2 linked regions of the Sus scrofa genome follow. The protein of the gene in region 1 purifies or fractionates together with the protein of each later gene. This does not show direct contact. Links are inferred from orthologs where the notes say so. Each region holds a gene or a part of one and is shown in the gene's direction. Other genes may lie near its edges.

Region 1 (9,987 bases):
AGCTCCAACTGGACCCCTAGTCTGGGAACCTCCGTATGCCGAGGGTATGGCCATAAAAGACTAAAGAATTGGCCTTTTCTGTTTACTTTTCTTGGAAATGGGAAAATTCTTTCACCAAGTGGTACTAGGCTTATACCTCTAAGCCAGCTAATGTTTAATTTAGGTAACATTTAAAGGTACAGTTATGATGACGACTGTTTTATCACTAAAGAAGCTCCTTTGCTCAGTTACTAAGTAGAACAATCAGTGTGAATGTTGTCGTGCAGGAGAGGGCTGAAACGTGCACTACCACTGCTACCCTGCTTACTCGGGTAAACTGAGAAGCAGTGAAGTCAGAGCGTGCATGATAGAACCATCCGCCTTCGGAGAGGGGCCTTAGGACCCAACACGCCGTGGAAAGGGCTCCAGCTCTGGGTGGTCTTCTTTTATTGACGGCGAATAATTCAATACACAAATTGGAGAGATACGTGGAAATTTATTTTTAAGGAACTTAAAGGTTTCTAGTGATAACTGCTTTTGTTCTATAATTATAGGGACTGCTCTCATGTTTTCACATACACCCCAGAATATTAAACAGTACACTGCAAGGAATGATTGGAAAAGACATCAAAGGGAGTTTTCATTGTGGCAGTGGGTCATGAACCCAACTTAGTATCCATAAGGATGTGGGTTCGATCCGTGGCCTCTCTCAGTGGCTTCAGGATCTGCTGCTGCCATGGGCTGTGGTGTAGGCCAGTCATTGCAGCTCGATTCGTCCCCTAGCTCAGGAATTTCCATATGCTGCAGGCACAGCCCTAAAAAGCAAAAAAATAATAAATAAACAGAAAGACAAAAAAAGTGAAATTGATAATAATTCAAATAACAAGTTTAATTCCACTAAAATCACATAATGAAGTAGGATGTTATGAAAATTCACTAACCAAAGGAAAATAGGTATAAGGCCTCCATAAAAAAGGAGACGACACCACAGCTCCAAGTATCAGTATTTTTCTTACATTCATCTAGTTTTAATTTTTATTCAGGTATTTTGACCTGTAACAACAAAAATTTAGTTGTGACTTCATTATCTCATTGTATTTTCATTTTCTTTCTTTCTTTTTGTTGCTTAGAAGTGTGAACGTCTACTTCTGTTTCTTTACTGCCATGAAATGAGCCTGGCTTTTCAAGACCCAGTTCCTCTAACTGTAAGTATTAATGTCATTTTGTGCATTTTTGCACAGTGGGGTGATTTTTCTGAAATTTGATTTGAAAATCTAGTTTCTGTTTCAGTAGTAAGTTTCTTACATTAATCCAAACTGTAAAGCTTATTAATAGATACTGAATGCTTTGATCTTAAATACATTTTAATGTTAACAAAGTGGCTCAAAACTTCGTTTCTCATATAATCTTTCTTTTCATCTCATGTATTTTACCTGCTATTCTCTGGGATGCTTTCTATCGTTTCTGTCTCAGGAGTTTTACATACATGTCCTAAGCTGTTGGGAAAAAAAACTTTGTATTTCAGATAAAGATCCCCTGCCTCAAAGTTCTCTGTACACATTTGAGTTTATAGGTCCAAACTTCAAGCAATAAATAGACTTTTTTTTTTTTTTTTTTTTTGGTCTTTTTGCCTTTTCTTGGGCCGCTCCCGCGGCATATGGAGGTTCCCAGGCTAGGGGTCTAATCGGAGCTGTAGCCGCCAGCCTATGCCAGAGCCACAGCAATTCGGGATCCGAGCCGCATCTGCAGCCTGCATCACAGCTCACGGCAACGCCGGATCGTTAACCCACTGAGCAAGGCCAGGGATCGAACCCGCAACCTCATGGTTCCTAGTCGGATTCGTTAACCACTGTGCCACGATGGGAACTCCTAGACTTTTAACAGTAGAAGAAGAGAGGTGTATTTGTGTGTGTGTGTGTGTATGTGTTTACCATTGACTTCAAAAGGCTTCGTAGTTGAAGTTTGATGTGACTTTAATGCATAGTCTCATTATAATGGTGCTAGTAAGGGCCTGCTACTCAAAATGTGTTGTTCTATTCTCTGATGTCTGAAATTCCTTTTAAAAATTAATAGATGTACAGTTCAATAAATTTTAAAAATTTTATGCAAAATTAAAATTTCTTGAAAACAAGTTTTGAGAACTTGAGATAGGAAAAATCAATACAGTTAACTCTTAATTAGAACAGTGAGGAGGTTGGGGCACCAGCTCTGCATGATTAGAAAGCGGCATGTAACCTTGCATCCGGGCCTTTCCGTTTGCAGAATCAGCCCACCATGGATCAGGTAGTGCTATAGTGTGAGTTTAGTGAAAAAAAATCAATGCATACATGTGCCTGCAGAGTTCGAGGCTCCACTGTAAGTCGTTTTTAGGGGGAAGGGCCTGTTGTACTCAAAACAGGCAGGGCAAAAGTAGGTCAGTAAAACTTTATTCACTTAAAAATTTAACCTAAGGTTTGGCGCTCTTTATGGTGTTAGCTTACAGTTAACATTTGGTATTAATAACAGCAACAGCAAAGTAGCCCCCTTTTTTCTTAATATATATCATCTCAGTCTATACATCATCCTGTGGGACTGGTGGAATTAGTCCTATTTGAAATATGAAGGAACAGTTTCAGTGACATGAAGTAACTCATTAAGTCGTACCCTATTGAGTAGCAGAGCTGGGGTTCAGAAAGCTCACTTGCTGAACACTTGGAACAAGAACATGTCAAATCTTACTAGAAGTAATGCTTTTTCTAGTGATTGCTTTTTGTTTAATAATGATGAAGAATAATAAGAGGGAAATGCGGTAAGTTTTTTTCATTAGAAATAACTCATAGGAGTTCCCGTCGTGGCGCAGTGGATAACGAATCCGACTAGGAACCATGAGGTGCGGGTTCGGTCCCTGCCCTTGCTCAGTGGGTTAACGATTCGGCGTTGCTGTGAGCTGTGGTGTAGGTCGCAGACGCAGCTCGGATCCTTCATTGCTGTGGCTCTGGCTTAGGCTGGCGGCTACAGCTCCAATTAGACCCCTCGCCTGGGAATTTCCATATGCCACAGGAGCGGCCCAAGAAATGGCAAAAAGACAAAAAAAATAAATAAATAAAAAGGAATAACTAATAAAAAATTTGGGTGGGGTTTTCGGGGTTGTTGTTTTGGTTTTTTGTTTTGTTTTGTTTTCTTTTCTTTTTTCTTTTTGGTCTTTTTACAGCCACACCCATGACATAGGTAAGTTCCCAGGCCGGGGGTCAGAGCTGTAGCTGCCAGCGACAATCACACCACCACCAAATCCTTATCTCACTGAGTGAGGCTGCATCCTTGTGGATACTAGTTGGGTTCATTACCGCTGAGGCACCATGGGAACTCCTGGGGAGAATTTTTGATGAAAGCGACACAAAACATTTATCAGTGTGTGGAAGCCTGTAGGCATTTGTAAATTTTGTTGAATAGATTGCCTTGTCAATGACAAAATAGAACAGAGAAAAGCAGTGAGAAAAATAAGAATTTTATGCTACTTCTTATAGAATTTATTTAGGACCAGGTAGAATTTAGTTATTTATTACAGCATCTCATTTCTTTTGAAAGGTGCCTGATTATTATAAAATAATTAAAAACCCAATGGACTTGTCAACCATCAAGAAAAGACTACAGGAAGATTATTCCATGTATACAAAGCCTGAAGATTTTGTAGCTGATTTTAGATTGATCTTTCAAAACTGTGCCGAATTCAATGAGGTGAGAAGGAAGAATAATAATAGCAATGTGAGAGTAACACTAAACCAAATAGCTTATCAGCAACCAAGATCAAGATACTATCATTGGTAGCGTATTATTTCCAAAGTTCAAGTCTGTCAGGGAGTGAAAGAGGCAATTAGGAAGATTTTATCCGCATGTATATTCGAAGGTTTATTATGTGGTGAAGGGAAATGCGAATTACAGCTGACAGCTTGAAACCAGCTTAGAAAATATTGGTTCTAAACCAAAAGTATTCTTTGTCATTCTCATTATCACCTTTATTTCTTGAAATATGGCACTTTCAAACTTTAGTCTTTGTGATGTTGATATTGAAATGTGGAATAAGTTCTTAAGAATTTTCCCCAAAACTTTGTCATCAGTCAGTTTATCAGTCAGACTTACAGCCTTTTGCTGATTTTGGGGGGGGGGGTGAGGGGGTTGGTTCTGTGTTAGTCTCTCATTCCAGAGTTCCACATTTCATTTGATCTGTTCTTAAAAATACCTGTTACTTGATTCTGTGATGATGGTGTCTCTTTGATCTCTCTTTGGTAATCTCCGACTACCACCCCTCGTAGAATAATCCAGATGAGTCAAGGCCTTTTATTTACTTTTTATCTGATCTTCTCTAGACTTTGTCTAGCTCCTGACTGTCATTTACTTTATAGCAATACTGTACATACACATTTTCCCCAAAACACTCCACTGGCATTTGTAGTCTTGAGTTAAAAGGGAACAAAAATGGGAGAAATCTACTACTTTTATTGATTATCTACAGATTTTTCTAAATAATATTTTTGCTTTTATTCAACAGCCTGATTCAGAAGTAGCCAATGCCGGTATAAAACTTGAAAGCTATTTTGAAGAACTTCTGAAGAACCTTTACCCGGAAAAAAAGTTTCCCAAACTAGAATTCAGGAATGAATCAGAAGATAATAAATTTAGTGACGACTCAGATGATGACTTTGTACAGCCCCGGAAGAAACGCCTCAAAAGCATAGAAGAACGCCAGTTGCTTAAATAAGCAGCACCACTGGCCCATGCTGGTTTTTAGATTTTTGTCAGTAATTTAACATCATTACCAAGAAGAGTTTGTGACCACTCTTTAAGTTTTTGATGTTTGCTAGACTTGATTTTCTTAATAACCCATTTCTTTTAACCTTACAAGAAAGAACAAAGAAGAGGAAGGAAGGAAAAGGAAGAAAGAAAGAAGCATCAGCAACAAAAGACATTTTCCCCACGTATTGGATTTCAAACTGCAGTCTGGAGCGATAGCTATTCTAGAAAGGAAATAGATGTTGTATGAACTCTAAATTGAAAGTTTAATGGCTTGGATGTGTGCATTAACCCATTTTTAGAAAATACCACTACCCATTAATTATGGACCAACCCATGAGTTAGGTGTACTGTACTTGAGAGCAGTACTCCATGAATGTGAGTGGTAAGAAAGAGTTCTATCCTAGAATGCCCACTGGTGCAACGAAAAAGTAGATTAGATGCTACTACGAAGCACCTGATAGTATATCATGTAAGATGGCAACTGTATTAAAAAAAAAGCAGGAAAACGAATGTTTGATTTTTGTTTTTGTTTTTTTCTTGTCTCTAGAGGTGTTTGGTATAGCAGGTTTTCAAGGCCATTTTTCATACGTTTCTAAGTCTTACCTTCTGCTGTGGAAGTAAGTGTACTTGTTTGGTTTTGCTCTGTGTCTGTGTGGTTTGTTGTTTGCCTTTTAACTGTGCAGGTGACCCTTTTATAATAAGACTCAATTGTTTGCAGTATGGCTTTTAGTGGAACTTCTCAGAATTTGAAATACAGCAGTGTATGCCATATGCGATGTCAGGATTCCTCAACTTAAACCCTATTGGGCATTAAATATAAATTCCCCTGAAAGGGAATAGTTTTTGTGGTTTTCATCTGTCTTCATAATTCCGGATGAAAGTGTGTTGTAGAATTTGGGGCCAGGCAATCGGAAGGAATTAGACTGAAAAATTTTTTTCAGAAGCATTTATTTCCTATTTTTCAGAGTCAAACTGTCAAATTGAGTCTTTGATCTAACTTAATTCTGGGTTTCATTTTCGTTCTCTTAATAGAGATACAAAAGACCTGTCTTCTGAGGGCAAGTATATTCTTAATGGGTCAGAGCTACTTTAACATTCATTCATTCCCTTTACTTGTTAATGTCAAAGAAGGAGATGAGATTAAGATAGAAGAAAATTTTGTGCCACGTGCTAATCTAACATGTGACAGTAACATTTACATGTGGACTTCTTTGTTTGCCAAAGTAAACCTCTATTTATGAAACAGTAAAGGAGGAAATTTTTCTCTTTCGGCTGATAGAATTAAAATAGAGCTGACTTCGAAGAATTTTTACCCTTTGGATCATGTCATCTCTCACGAATTCAACCTAGAGGACTTGCTTTTACCCACATAGCATCATTTCCTAAAATAGACATTTGAAAGTATTCTGTGGCTAAGTCACTGGGTTTTCAGATACTGCTAGAGATAAAATGAGAAAATAACTTCTTGGCAGTAAACTTAGGTTTAGTCCACAATATATCAATCATGTATTAAATGCTTAAAACGTCTTAATTTTCAAAATCGGTTTTTCAGGGTAGTTGTTGTGGTTTTATTGTTTTGAATATGCATTTGACATTCTCCAAAGAAGTTAACAAAATTTACCGCTTATCTTTTTTTGCTCCACCATTTTTAGCACAGCAGCTATGGTAATTCTGCTAGTAAGTTTATTGTTGTTATCTTAGACTGTATTGTTCCTCTGACATTTTTTTTCTTCCGTACTTGTCTCCTGAGTTAAAGCAGGCAACACGGATCGATTTTGAGGATGATCACAAAGGGAAGTAGCACTTAACAGAGAAAAATGTGTAATTTCCTAAATGCATTTGAGCCAGAATTTCTACTAATGTACCCAGAACTTACACTGTTATTTTCAGTGCCGTATTAATCTTTCAGAGCAGTATTCTCTTTCACCTTTCTCATATTTTTGCTGAATGAAAGGCAGTTGAAACCCATCTTTCCTGTAATCAAACATTATACATATTAAAATGTTTCTCTCTCCAAATAGCAGTTTTTTAATGGTCTTTAAAACTGAAGTCCTATGACCTTATTGTAACAAGCACCTGTGTGCCCAGGTGGATCCCAGCACAGTCATCCTTAAAATAAGAGGTAAGCTATGAGTCTGACTATACCACACGCCCATTTGGAGAGCATTCTCCGGGAAAGTCAGTGCAATTCAGGCAACCTTGACCTTAAAGAACTCCAGGAGATCTCCCTCAGTATTTAAAAACCAATAGCCTTGTGTCATAGCTGCAGGACCCCCAATACTGAATGTCGTCACAGGATGAGCTGGCTATGTGGCAGCTAGAATTCACTCAGTTCAACTCATGGAAAGCTTTCTCAGGTGCCATGCATTTGATCTTTCTAGCAATGAAAAAACCCAGTACACAGCGACTTAACATGACTGTGGCCTAGGCTTAATTAGATAGTGTGTACCCTATTTGAAACACTATTGTACGTTAGCATCTGACAGTGCTAATGTATTTTGTCCTTGAACAGGCCCTGCTTATCTTTTCTGAATGGAAGTGTAGCACATTGGAAGGTGCCAAAGGGAAAATGTGCTCTTCCTTTGGTAATTTTACTTTCTTTTCCAAGTTTAGACTTTGCCAAGAATAGACCTCACATTTTACTCCTACACAGTACTATTGATGTAACATAACTTAGCAGTGCTTTCACTCTGCTTAGGATTCACTCCACAGTCCAAAGGGTGAGTGTATAGCCAATTTCTCCATTTGTGGATTTGCATTTCAAATTTCTGTGCTGCTGCAGTGTTTTAAACTTTTAAATTTGGGTTCCATGGAGAGACTAGTTAGGCAATGAAAGGAGGGGAACTATTGTTGAGGCCTGATCTACCAATGAACCTGAATCCCAAAAGTAGATTGCTGCATAGGAGCAAAAGGTTTTTAGGTTTAAACTGAAGCTGTATTTACTTTCTGCTTCTCTGTATCTGTTATGAATGAAAGAAATTGTGTGATCTCATTGACCTTTAAATTACGGACATAACTGTGAGTTCAACAATCTAACTTCTTAGGAAATAGAGGCCCTCCTTTTAAATAACCATGCATATATATATATATATATATATATATATTTTTTTTTTTTTTTTTAAGCATTTTAGAACCTCATGTAAGTTAATAGGTCATGTCTTTTATATGTATTGCCCCTTCATCTTGGGCGTGAACTTACCGAGTCATAATTCTCGTGTTGGTGGCTCATGTTCTTGAGTCAGAATAGTGCCAGTCAGTCAGACCACAGGTCTCTCCCCCATGAAGGTTTTGCTGATTGTGAAGGACATCTGAGGCAGAGGTCTTTGTGGTTATTTTTAATTTGGGGGAGTCAACTGGTGCTTTGATTTAATCAGTATCATCTATGGTGGATATAAACTGTGAATATTTTACCACAAAGAGGAATTGTTAACTGAGAAATGACTGTATGTCATGCAGTAGACTATTAACGAGTTTGAGTTTCCATGACTACCTTTGTATGCTCCTCTGTAAAACTGATACATATAGGGAAGAGCTACTAGTCCATAAATAGGAAAGCTTTTAAGAGGAAAAAAAGCCCTAACGCATGTGTTTTCACCAGGAGGTAAGTCACTGTTTCCTGCTCCCCTGAACGAACCCAACACCCTGGCAGTAGGAGAACCAAAGAGGCCATGAAAAATTCTACTTGTCTGAAGCCTGTTGGAAGAAGGGGGTGGGGGGAACACAGCAGGGAGTTTACAAGCCACTTTAAAAGTTTACCTGTGTTAATTTCACCTATAAAGTTTGGAAAGTTGTGATTCTCAGATGTTAGAACAATTTTTAAAACTTTTGTATATCAAATAGGTCTTAAATTGATGGGGGTGGGAATAGCCTTCTATTTGATTTTTAAATGAGTTTTTAAACGGAATAACAAAGTCATAATCGAGTCCTTTAAAAAACATGCTTTCTTGGACATGACAAGCTAAACATTTAGCAAAATAATTTCTTTCCTACATTTTCAAATGTGGTATGGAAGAAAGTCTATTTTAATAGCATCTAACCATGCAGGAATATACTTGTGAATTCTTCTTGTTTGTTTGTTTTGGTCTTTTTAGGGCTGCACCTGAGGCATATGGAGGTTCCTAGGCTAGGGGTCAAATCAGAGCTGTAGCTGCTGCCCTGCACTACAGCCACAGCAGTGCTGGATCCAAGCCTCGTCTGAGATGCACCACAGCTCATGGTAACACCAGATCCCTAACCCACTGAGCAAGGCCAGGGATCGAACCTGTGTTCTCACAGATGCTAGTCAGATTCATTTCTGCTGAGCCATGACAGGAACTCCGTGAAGGTGAATTCTTTACCCATGTTCTCTGCTACTTTTTAAACCAAGTCAGGTGAGCCAGAAAATTCAGTCCAGAACCAATGGCTGAAACCTGGTTGTCGTTGAGGGGAGGGGATAGAATATAAGGATCACCCAGAGTTGAGCATGTCGGGAATGTACTGACCTGAGAAGTGGTGTGTGGTCCCAAAGGAAATCGGTCTTGCTCCTTGGAAAGAAGAGGAGTGGCAACAAGCTCAGTAAGTCACCAGTTAGCATGCTTTGCTTATGATTCTGTTTCTTTAATCTGATTGCATAAGGCATTTACTAATGAAGGTGTATCTTAAGAAAGCCCAGGATCCAAAAAGTCCAAGATAAAAGGTTTTGGCATTTACATTACAGAAGGATTTTTTTTTTCTTTTTTTTTTTTTTTTTTTTTTTTGGCCACTCTAGACTGCTTTGAAGAGACAGGAATCAATCAAATTCTCTTCTATTAGAGGAACTGTTAGAGGAGTTCGGTTGTGGATCAGCAATAACGAACCCAACTAGCATCCGTAAGGACACGAGTTCAGTCCCTGGCCTCGCTCAGTGGGACAGGGGTCCAGCGTTGCTGTGAGCTGTGGTGTAGGTCACAGATGGGGCTCAGGTCCTGAATTGCTGTGGCTGTGGCCCTGCAGCTGGCTGCAGCTCCAATTCGACTCCTACCCTGGGAACTTCTGTATGCCACACCGGCATCCCTAAAAGGAAAAAAAAAAACCCAAACCCAAAAAACTATTAGATTCAGACAAAGTCAACCTCCGTCTTATTGCATAAAGCACAACATGCCTGTAGAAAGATTCCGCTTGTGTTACTTCATCACAGTGTTGTCTTTTATGAGTTCTGAAAGGTAAACCCGAAATTGGTTGACTTCCGTTTCTGCTAGTGCCTGTGCTGCTAAGGTAAGC
Region 2 (11,007 bases), on another chromosome or scaffold:
GAGGCAGCTTTGACACTCACCTGGACCCACATACCATTTTGCGGTTGTAGACAATAGCGTCACATACGCACACGAACATGGAGTCTCTAAGAACCAACTCCCAGCTGAGCCCTGGGGCTGCAGATGGGGGAACACGTCCCAACACCAGATCTCAGGAAACCTCCAAGTTGGAAGGGAACTTACAGGCCGTTTAATCCTACCCCAAAGCTTGAATCCCTTCAACATTCCTGCAAGGAGCTCCAGATGGACCGCCTGGCCTACAACATCTGCATAAACGAAGCCCAGTGCTTCTCACCAAGCACATGGAGCAAAACCAAAATCCCTTGATCCGCACCTGCTCACCTTTCCGCACACACCTTCACACGCTACTCCGACCTCGCAGGCCAGTGGGGCCCCTCACACGCCAGCCCCTACCCCCACATCTCCTTTGCTTTCCTTGTGTTAACTCGTGACAGTCCGCAGTGCCTTTCTGTCGCAGACCCACTGGCCAAGGAACAGCATGAGGCTAGAGACCCCCAGGGCAGGAAGGAAAAGCCCCCAGGATTCTGCCTGTCTTTCCTGGTGTGAATGACCACAGGAAGGACAGAACCTGTTTCCCCTGCCCCTTGGGCCACTGTCCGCTCACGGACTTTTGCGTTTGTGTTTGTGTGTGTGTGTGTGTGTGTGTGCGCGCGCGCGCAGGTAGGGGGGTGCCTCCAAGAGGTGGGGGCCAAGAAGAGGTGCGCAGCCCTTATCGGCTCTTAAGTAACTCCCAGGACGGGTTAGAGGGTACAGAGTCAGGTAGACTCGGAACTGTGTGCTTTCTGATAAAGGGGAGCGTTTCTGGATTCTTAAGGAGGATCTCTACATGATGTTTGGAAAAGCCACTGTTCTTCCCAATAACTCTTCCCCTAACTGGTATTTGTATCTGGGTTTCTCCCCCGCCCCCACCCCTGGGGCAGATTCCCCCACCCCACCCCTGCTTTGTCCTACTCTCCAAGAGCAAGGGCCTCCTCTCCCCTTCCACATCCTCTTCGCACTGTCCACCCCCCCGCCCCGCCCGAGGGGAGTCCCTGATTCGAGAGCGGGTCCATCCTCTCCCTCCCACTCTGCCATCCGCCTCATCAACGGGCACATCTCCATTGTTTCAGCATCCTCCCTTCCCTCTTCCCGGCTCTCTCGCCTTTCTGAGACCCCCAAAGAGTTGATTGAGGGGAATGTGTGTGTGTAGGGGGGGTCTGGCTGTTCTCTGGTTGGGGGTCAGGGGGAGCTGGGAGAGGGGAAGGTTGTGGTCACTGGGACTGCTCCTGGCCGAGGGGGGTCCGCGAACAAGGACTCCTCTCCGAGGGCTGTGTGCCTACTGTCCGACTCCGGAGGATTCACTGGGAAAAGGAACTCATCTGGGGACCAGATGCCCAGTGGTGGCAGCAGAGGCCAATTCCTGGGATGTGGTCCCACAAAGTAGACTCTCCCTGCACTCCCCCCCCCCACCCCCTGCACCCAGAGGGGAGATGCTCAGGCAGCTGGCCAGCGACACTGAGGGGCCGGGGCGGGGGGGGGCAGGACCCCAGGAAGCCCTCCTTTCCTGGAACCTGAAGGTTCACAGACTCACCCCACAAAGTAGGAGATGATCAGGAGCTGAACTGCTCGGTTGATGATCCCAATGGTCCAGCTTTTCACAACCACAGACTTGGTGGTCTCGTAGGTGAAGAAATCTGAGATGCAGTTCATGCTGAGAATGACCCCTCAGAAGGGACCCAGTGGTGGCCTCAGGAGGGAGAGGTCATCAGATGGGGAGACAGAGATCAAGGTCTGGAGGGGGCAGCTTAGAGGGGCTCAAGGAAAGGGCAGGCTGTTCCTTTAAGTCAGGCACCTAAGCCCAGTGCCCAGCTCCTCTCTGCTCTTGACACTCTGAGCTGCCAAGAGTCCAAGGCCAGGGCGGGGGACCCCCTTTTTGTTCGTCTCCACCCCACTCCCCTGTGATGTCATGGTAGGGGTGGGGTCTCCAATCCCAGGCTCCTGATTGCCTGGGATGCAGCTGGCTAGGGCCCTCTAGGACTCATGTTTTATCTGCACTCTGTCTATCGTTTCGGTTCCATCCTCTTATGCTGCATCTTCATCCCGGCTCACCAGCTGCTTCATGCTCTCTTTAAAGCCCCTTGCAACACACCACTCCCCAGCCACCTAATAGCCTGCCTGAGCTGAGTATCCCCTTCAATCCAGAGTGTCTTCCTTAAAGCCGTTCAATTCTGCAGGCGTCTCCTCCCTTCCTGAGTTGCCGGCAATACATGGGTCAAGGGGAGGGGTCTCCTGAATGTTTCTCTTGGTCTCCTGGGTGAGGGTGATTGGGGTTACATAGTTCCTATTTCTTACTCATGTTGGCAGTGACTGAAGCTCTACCTGCAGAGCACTATCACATTGGGTTTTTTTCCTTTTTCTTTTCTTTTTCTTTTTTTGCTTTTTAGGGCCGTACCCATGGCATATGAGGTTACCAATGCTAGGGGGTCGAATCAGAGCTACAGCTGCCGGCCTATGCCACAGCCACAGCCACGTGGGATCCGAGCTGCTTCTGCGACCTACACCACAGCTCACGGCAACACCAGATCCTTAACCCGCTGAAGGAGGTCAGAGATCGAACCCACATCCTTGTGGAGCCTAGTTGGGTTCATTAACCATTGAGCCACGAAGGGAACTCCCACATTGGGTATTTTCTTGTTCTATTTTGTTTTACCATCAGTTTACTTATTTGAATCATTTATTAGATGTCACATGCCTGGAAAACTGGGGCTGTTTCCATCTTGTTTACTAGTTTCCACAAATCCTATCACTGTGTTAGAGTTCAACACATATCTGTTGAATCTAGTTGGCTTATGTTGCTAGATAGCGTGGGAACAGCCATTACCCAGAGGTTAAAGTCGTGAGTTCAGGGAGCAACAGTGCATTCACGTCATCTTGTGTCCCAAGCTGGGGTAACTGTAGGTCAGACTGTCAAAGAAATCTGGAGTTTAAATATTCTGTCTCAATGTTTTGTATACTTGACATCTATTATCAATCATTCCGAATGGAGAATCACTAGACGGGCTAAGTAGATTTTGGGTTTTGTTCCCCAGGCCACTCCTCTTAGGGCCTCAGTTTCCCGATCTTCAAAAGGAAGCTGGAGCAGACGAATCCAAACATCTCTTACTCGTCCAGCCTCCTCTGATTTTGCGAGGTGCACCCTAGGACTCCATAAGGGGGATCTGGCTTATGAAAGCCCAGGCTGCTGTGATTTCAAATCAGTTCTGGCTCCACGGTGAATGTGACACCAGCACTTGAACCTGATACCGCCGCCGCCGCCGCCGCTGGCCAGCCTCTTCCAGGAGACTCAAACCTTGCATTTATCGATGTCAAGTTTTGGGGTGCAGTGAACTCACTTCAAAAAGGATCCAATCCCTTGTGACAGGGGTGAGCAGTATAGTCACAGCGATACCAACACTCGCATTCTCTTCGAAGCCAGTGGGAGGGGTCATTTCTCTCCACAAGTCGTTAAATATTTTCCTTCTTGTCCTACAAACTCCTTTCTATTCCACAGAAACCACTATGGGGCGGGAGAGAGTCGCCCGTCATTGCTACGCACGCACACGCATCTTTGGCAAGTCTGATAAAATGCAACTACACAGTTTCTCTTTAAAGTCTTGTCGTTCCCGGAAGGAGTGTCTGTGATTTTTAAAGAGCCCGACACGCTCCCATTTTCTAGTCGGACGCCAAACGGGCGGGACATCAGTGTAACCCGGCTTCCCTCAGGTCCTCCAGCGCTGTGGACGCTCTATGGGACCGCCTCGAAGGCGGGCCGCGTTTCGCGCCTCTCTAGCCGGCTCCTCCTCTCTATGGTCCGTGCTGGGCTTCCGGTGGCGGGACGCGGGGCCGCGCACGCGGGAAAAGCTTCCCCAGCGTCCCCCCCGGACCCCCCGGACCCTACACCCCCGCTGCGTCCCCCAGCGAGCCCACCGCCCGCTTGCGGGCCGTCTGAGGCCGCAGCTTGAGAAAGTAGGTGGTCGCTATCGCCGCGCCCCAGGAAGGCGAGGGCCCTGCTCCCCCGCGGGACGCGTGGGATGGACTGTTCCGCGTTGGAATCCGCGGGCAGCGGGCGAATCCATTTTAGCGGGAGGGGAGAACTGTGGGCCTGGGGCCGCGGCGCGGTGGGAGCGCTGGGAGGGAACTCGTGCTTTTTGAGCGGGGTTGGGGCGCGGGCGAGGTGCGGGCTCCGGATGGCCCAGGGGTTCCGCTGCTCGTTGCCATGGCGCCCGGTGGAGCGCCCAGAGGGGGTGTCTGGTTGGGATGTAAGAGGTACTTCGGGCCGGCTTCTTAAGCCCCGGCCGGGCCTGGCCCTGGAGTTCTGCAGAACCGGCTTGCAGGGTTCCCAGGCAGGGAGATCGTGAGACATCCCAGGCACAGGAAGGGTTGCCACTAGGCTCCCTCCGTGGCCAGCATGAGGTGTTGTTTTTTCCACTTAACTTCAATCCACTTATCCCTCTTCAATTCAGATTCCCAGCCTGCGTTGTGTATCTGCACAACGTACCCAGGAGTTGGGGCCCAGCTCCCAGTTGAGGCCTACAGGGGCAGGTCAGCATGGCAGAAACACTGGAGTTCAACGACGTGTATCAGGAGGTGAAAGGCTCTATGGTAAGAAGGACTGGGGCTTTTGAAACAGATGGAGGGAGGGAGGCGGAGTAGACTTTTTATCCACTCGCAAGAGCTTGTGCTGATGATGTTGCTACTTTGGAAAAGAAGTCAGTTCGATGTGTATTTGGTAGTTCCCCAACAAGAAGCATTACTGAGTGAGGATACAAGAGTTACAGGATGTCAGAGTTTGAAGGGACTACACCTGCTGCTCAATCCTGAATCCCCAAACTGAGGACCTGCACGGGTTCTGGATGCCAGAGCGAGGATTAGAATCCAGATCTTCTGGCCTTACTCGTCTCTTCTTGCCAGCCCTCACCACTTCAGCTGTTATTGCTCCTGCCTGATACCTGACCAGCCCAGAATGGGTGTTGGGTGGGACCGTCCCTGCTCTACGCTATGGTCGTCCCTGTGCATTTGGGCCTGTTTTCCCAACAGAATGATGGTCGGCTGAGGTTGAGCCGCCAGGGCATCATCTTCAAGAACAGTAAAACGGGCAAAGTGGACAACATCCAGGCTGGGGAGTTGACCGAAGGGATCTGGCGCCGAGTAGCTCTGGGCCATGGACTTAAACTGCTCACGAAAAATGGCCACGTCTACAAGTACGACGGCTTCCGAGAATCGGTGAGATGCCCCTTGCCATAGCCCCCTTTACTGTGCCATCTTCTTTAGTTTTAATCTTCTTGAGAGAAGTGGGGCTCCTTCTGATAACCGTGCAGTTGCTAGTTTGGGATCCTTAAAGCAGGACCGTGGAAGCCATTAAGCAGTCAGTGTTCAGCTTTGGGCTGCAGAGTCTCGGGAGTTTCTTTGTGCTTTAACTCCAGAAACTTTTCTACTGTTTTGATTTTTTTTTTTTTTTTTTTTTTTTTTTTTTTTTTTTGGTGGTTTCTGCCTGTTGCCTTATCCAGGTTCAGGGGCTTACCTTGAGGTTTTAGGTTGGTGTTGTTTTTCCATTTTGAACGGCTTGTGTTAAAGACTTTACTTCATTTCCACTTTCACTAAAGGAATACCTGTCCAAAGTCAGAAAAACACTGTGAGACCTGCAAGCAGGAGTGTCAGTCCTTACTTTACTCCTCCCCCAGCCCGAGTCCAGCCAGTCCCCAGAAATAGCCTTTTTCAACAGTGTTTTAACAATATTATAGCTCTAAGTCAGCGTGGATTTCTGATGAAAGTTTATTGGGGTCGTTTCTCAGAAGCAGATAATCTCAGGACCCTCAAGTTCTGTGTTAAGGCTACTGGGGTTTCACTGGGCTTGTTCTTTCCCCTCTTCCCACAGGAGTTCGAGAAACTCTCTGATTTCTTCAAAACTCACTATCGCCTTGAGCTGATGGAAAAGGACCTCTGTGTGAAGGGTTGGAACTGGGGAACAGTGAAGTTTGGGGGTGAGTCCTGGGGAAGATTGAGGTTTGCGGGGAGGAGGTAGGCTGAAGGGTTTCAGCCTTTAACTTGTTTTGCTCTCCTCCGCTGTTTCTGATTTCCTACCAGTTTGTAATTCATCACGTATTTATCGAGGACCAACACTGTATGAGGCACTGTGCCCGGTCCCTGGGGCACAGTGCGAACAAAATGGTCTCAGTGCCCTGTCCTTTGGGAGCCTCTAGGCTGGTAGGAAGGAACATTGTTTATGCGGAGCCGAGGGAAGGAGCTTGTGGCTCAGTGTGCCCTTTCCTACAGGGCAGCTGCTTTCCTTTGACATTGGTGACCAGCCGGTCTTCGAGATCCCTCTCAGCAACGTGTCCCAGTGTACCACAGGCAAGAATGAGGTGACACTGGAATTCCACCAGAATGACGATGCAGAGGTCTCTCTCATGGAGGTGCGCTTCTACGTGCCCCCCACCCAGGAGGATGGCGTGGACCCCGTTGAGGTGAGGCCTCCCCTGGTCTCTTGGGAGCAGATGGTGCTGAGCAGGCCCTGGGTGGCCCAGGAGCAGGATCTCTGCTGCTCGATTGCCAGGGTGTGCTCTTATAGGCCTTTGCCCAGAATGTGCTGTCGAAGGCGGATGTGATCCAGGCCACCGGAGATGCCATCTGCATCTTCCGGGAGCTGCAGTGTCTGACTCCCCGAGGCCGTTACGACATTCGCATCTACCCCACTTTTCTGCACCTACACGGCAAGACTTTCGATTACAAGATCCCCTACACCACAGTGCTGCGTCTCTTTTTGCTGCCCCACAAGGACCAGCGCCAGATGTTCTTTGTGGTAAGAAACCACTGGGGGTGCATTGTGCTGGGTTTTGCCCCCGTCTTTAGTAGACAGATCTCCCCCACATTCAGTTAGCCGCACGGCCCTGTGGAGCACTGACTGCTGCTGAACTTGGTCGGCTCTTCCTTCCCAGATCAGCCTGGATCCCCCCATCAAGCAGGGCCAGACCCGCTACCACTTCCTGATCCTCCTCTTCTCCAAGGACGAGGACATCTCCTTGACTCTCAACATGAACGAGTGAGTGTGTCCCTGGTCTGGGCAGCTGTGCCATCCGAAGGCAGCAGTGCTTGTGACCACGCGTCTTGTTTGCAGGGAAGAGGTGGAGAAGCGCTTTGAGGGGCGGCTCACCAAGAACATGTCAGGATCCCTCTACGAGATGGTCAGCCGGGTCATGAAGGCACTGGTGAACCGCAAGATCACAGTCCCAGGCAACTTCCAAGGGTGAGGGTGCAGGCCTGGGCTGCCGGCCGGCCCGGGGATGGGCTGTGCCATGTCTCCACAGTAAACGCCTCCCGGGTTGGGCATGCAGCCCCTTACTGGCCTGGTTGGGGTGTGGCTGCCAAGGGGTGTGCCCTCTGGCCCTATGCCCCCTGCTGCTGAGGTGGGCGCTGACTGGAGGCCCTTTACCTTCCACCAGGCATTCGGGGGCCCAGTGCATCACCTGCTCCTACAAGGCCAGCTCCGGACTGCTGTACCCACTGGAGCGGGGCTTCATCTACGTCCACAAGCCACCAGTGCACATCCGCTTCGACGAGATCTCCTTTGTCAACTTCGCCCGTGGTACCACCACCACCCGTTCATTTGACTTTGAGATTGAGACCAAGCAGGGCACTCAGTATACCTTCAGTAGCATTGAGAGGTGAGCTCCTCTGCCAGTCACTTCCCGAGCATCCTGGTCCTGACCTGGCCTCGACCGAGAAGTCTGGCCTGGGGCTCCCCACTGACTTTTCAGGCCTCGGGCGGAATTTTTCTTCTGCTTTCTGGAATTTGGTCCTCCTCCTTGGAGTGCTCAGCCTTTGGCAGTCTCTCTGTTGCTTTTCTTCCTGTACTTAAAAGAGAATGGTTCTCCGTATTACGAAAGCTCTGTGTGTTTAGTGCTAGCCCTTCCCCTCCTCCCCTCACCCCACGATGGAAATACTATCTCCCTCTTTCCTGGAATGAGCTTCGTGCCCGAGAACACGGCAGCTAATGCCTATTGAGTGCTCGCTGTGGGCTAAACGTTTTACAAACAACCTCACACTTAATCCTCATAACCACCCTGAGAAGTATGAAATCCAGACCAGTAAAAAGATGATGGAACCCCCCTCTCCCACTGACATCCTCCCCCTGCCCTGTGCATTTCGGTAAATAGGTTCCCCCCCCCACCGCCTTTTCTTTTCCCAAACTCTTGAGACCATGTAGGTTGCCTTGGAGACTGGCGTCTGACTCTTTCTCAACGCCATCGTCTGGGGGTCTCTGAGCTCTTGGTTGGACCGTGTGGTCAAGAGCTCCCGGCTCCCCTGGCTGAGTGTCAGGACAGCACCAGGTTCACCCCTGCATTGACCCGTCCTGTCTGGTCACACAGTGCATCTCCCCTCACAGGGAGGAGTACGGGAAGCTGTTCGATTTTGTCAATGCCAAAAAACTCAACATCAAAAACCGAGGACTGAAAGAGGTACCTCTGTGGGTGGAGAAGGGTGAGCCCCCCTCCTGTTCTTTCTGTGGGGAAGGGGCAGGGCTTTCTCCGGCCTCCTTTTCACTTTCTCTTCTCTTCTTACCCTTATAGAAAAAAGAGGTGGTGTGACCCTTCCCCTCCCGGTGCAGGTTTCCTCAGCATGACCTTAGAGCAGTTTCTGCAACCCCTTAGGAGCCCCCAGTGGGGCTGGGAGAGGGAGGGGCTTGGACTAACCGCCTTGGCAGGAAGTCCTGGGCCAAGGCCCTACACATCGGCTGTGTGTGGACAATCTGGCCCCAGGGTCTTCTGGGCACTGCTGCTCTGATCTACTCACAGGCATGGGGAGTGCTTTTGAGTGTGCAGGCACCAGGGTGGGCCGGCCCTCACTCGCGCCTCTTCCCTGGCCAGGGCATGAACCCCAGCTACGATGAATATGCCGACTCTGATGAAGACCAGCATGATGCTTACCTGGAGCGGATGAAGGAGGAGGGCAAGATCCGGGAGGAGAATGCCAATGACAGCAGCGATGACTCAGGAGAAGAAACCGGTGAGTTCGCCTGGGCAGTGCCCGGCACTGGGGCGGTTGGCTCTCCCTGGGGCCAGGGCTGGGCTCACCCTGGGGCTGGAGCTGGGCCTCTGGATTTCCCTGGGGGGCCGAGCTGATGTGTCCTGTGCTCTTTTTCAGATGAGTCATTCAACCCAGGTGAAGAGGAGGAAGACGTGGCAGAGGAGTGAGTTTTGGGTCCACCTCGTGGGGGTGAGGTGGTGGCCTCTAAGCTTAAGGGACCAGAAGATTTTTGGACATTCCCACGTCTCAGCATTAGCAGCTGACCGAGGGTGGAAAAGTGACTTCCAGTGAGGTGATGATAAACGGAAACGTTTTGAAAGTTGTCGGGATGCTTTGTAGGTACAAGGGACATTGTGAAGCCGGAAGATGAGTGTGGAGAGAGAATGGGAATAAGGGCCAGTGCTGGCCTGCTTCCCCGCTGGGGGGGCCTTTGGGTCAGGCGTAGCATCTTGGTGGCCTCACCTGTGAAGTGCCAGTGTTCCCCTTGTGTGGTATCCGTCGAGACTCTTGATTGCCCATGTCAGAAATGGACTCAAACTGACTTGAGCATAAGAGGAATTCTATAAGCTCATGTAACTGGGAGTCTGATGCTAGAACTGGCTTCAGGCACCTGGATCCAAGTATTCAAAAGTTGTGGGGAATCTGTTTTTTAATTCTTCTGATTTCCTTATCTTAGATAAGTTTGCTCCTTATAGCACTAAATGACCCTGAGAAGCTTTGGGCAGGTTTAATTCTACTGGTTTAACCCCCAGAAGCGCCATTTCTCTGAGAGTGGGGTGAGCAGTGTGGCTACCGTCCCCTCTTGAGTCTGAGTTACTGGGGTGAGCTCCGATGGGCTAGAGCTAAGCCACATACCTGCCCTTGGAGCCTGTGGTTGGAGTGAGCTCCTCCTGAATGGGGGCAAGGTGGTTTCCAATGGGAATTTGGAACTGTCTTAATCCAGAAGAACTGGAAATTAATGTTGGGCAGCAAAAAGAAAAAAATCTGCCGGAGTCTACTAACTAGTTCTGTTTGCCACATACTTATGAAGGTCAGTAAGCAGATGCTTGTGAAAATGCCTTGAAAATGGTTCAGCACCATTTAGCCAGAAGGTAGTTCCATCTTCTGGGGAGTTCCACGTGTATCGGATAGAACAGTTTGTTATGTGGGTAGGTGCTGGGTTGGGCTGAAGTTGATTTTCCCCACTTTTTATACAGTAACTTATTATCTCTTCATCAGAAAAGATTATAGGGTAGATTATAATGTTTAGTTCAAAGGAAGTAGTGAAGTGGACTTGGCCTGTTCTGGGCAAGATGGGACAACGGTTTTGTCTCTCAAGAGCATGGGGATGGTTAGGGTCTGGGTTAGCCTACAGTCAAGGAGAGCAGCTGAAGCCCACGGCTTCATTTGTTTTTCCTCATTGATCGATTCTCCATGGCTGGGCATGGAGGAAGCAGGGATGGGACTGGTGCTGGAGTCTGCGGTCCTTTTCCCACTCTCCTTTCTGGGCAGGTGTCTTTGGACTCATTTTCCTCCTGTCCTGAAGTTGGGGGGTGCTGTCTTCTCTCCCGGTGTCTTAAGACCCACTCTCCTTGACAGGTTTGACAGCAACGCCTCGGCCAGCTCCTCCAGTAACGAGGGTGACAGTGACCGAGATGAGAAGAAACGGAAGCAGCTTAAAAAGGCCAAGATGGCCAAGGATCGCAAGAGCCGCAAGAAGCCCACAGAGGTGCGGCCTCCTCTAAGGGGGCGGGGGGCGGCCGTTGGGGAAGGGAAGCCACCTTCTTCTGTCCCCCACCATAGGGCCTGCTGACTGGTCCTCTAGGTGGGTTTTTGTAGCCAGTGATGATGGCCTTGAGGAGCATCTTTGAAAGTCCTTGGGATAATTAGCTTCTGGGAGATCGGAAGTAGGAGCAGGCTTCCTCTGTCCTGGGAGCCCAAGGAAAGGGGCCCCTAAGGAGCATG

The links.
Region 2: the proteins of TRIM24 (region 1) and SSRP1 purify together in Homo sapiens (affinity purification with mass spectrometry; 3 studies listed by BioGRID and IntAct, with this or other methods). This does not show direct contact. The link is inferred for Sus scrofa from reciprocal best matches to the Homo sapiens genes TRIM24 and SSRP1.

Annotation. Positions count from the first base shown.
Region 1 is NC_010460.4:11,051,988-11,061,974, reverse strand, and holds the end of TRIM24 (transcription intermediary factor 1-alpha), read left to right. Parts: intron 1-1,109; coding exon 1,110-1,184; intron 1,185-3,543; coding exon 3,544-3,693; intron 3,694-4,504; coding exon 4,505-4,714; 3' UTR 4,715-6,764; downstream 6,765-9,987. UniProt on the Homo sapiens protein: Transcriptional coactivator that interacts with numerous nuclear receptors and coactivators and modulates the transcription of target genes.
Region 2 is NC_010444.4:13,615,877-13,626,883, forward strand, and holds the start of SSRP1 (FACT complex subunit SSRP1), read left to right. Parts: upstream 1-3,844; 5' UTR 3,845-4,005; intron 4,006-4,502; 5' UTR 4,503-4,587; coding exon 4,588-4,641; intron 4,642-5,076; coding exon 5,077-5,262; intron 5,263-5,914; coding exon 5,915-6,020; intron 6,021-6,312; coding exon 6,313-6,503; intron 6,504-6,607; coding exon 6,608-6,838; intron 6,839-6,974; coding exon 6,975-7,078; intron 7,079-7,153; coding exon 7,154-7,282; intron 7,283-7,478; coding exon 7,479-7,700; intron 7,701-8,422; coding exon 8,423-8,495; intron 8,496-8,606; coding exon 8,607-8,615; intron 8,616-8,903; coding exon 8,904-9,042; intron 9,043-9,180; coding exon 9,181-9,226; intron 9,227-10,641; coding exon 10,642-10,771; intron 10,772-11,007. Other genes in the region: P2RX3 (P2X purinoceptor 3), read right to left, coding at 1,592-1,710. UniProt on the Homo sapiens protein: Component of the FACT complex, a general chromatin factor that acts to reorganize nucleosomes. The FACT complex is involved in multiple processes that require DNA as a template such as mRNA elongation, DNA replication and DNA repair.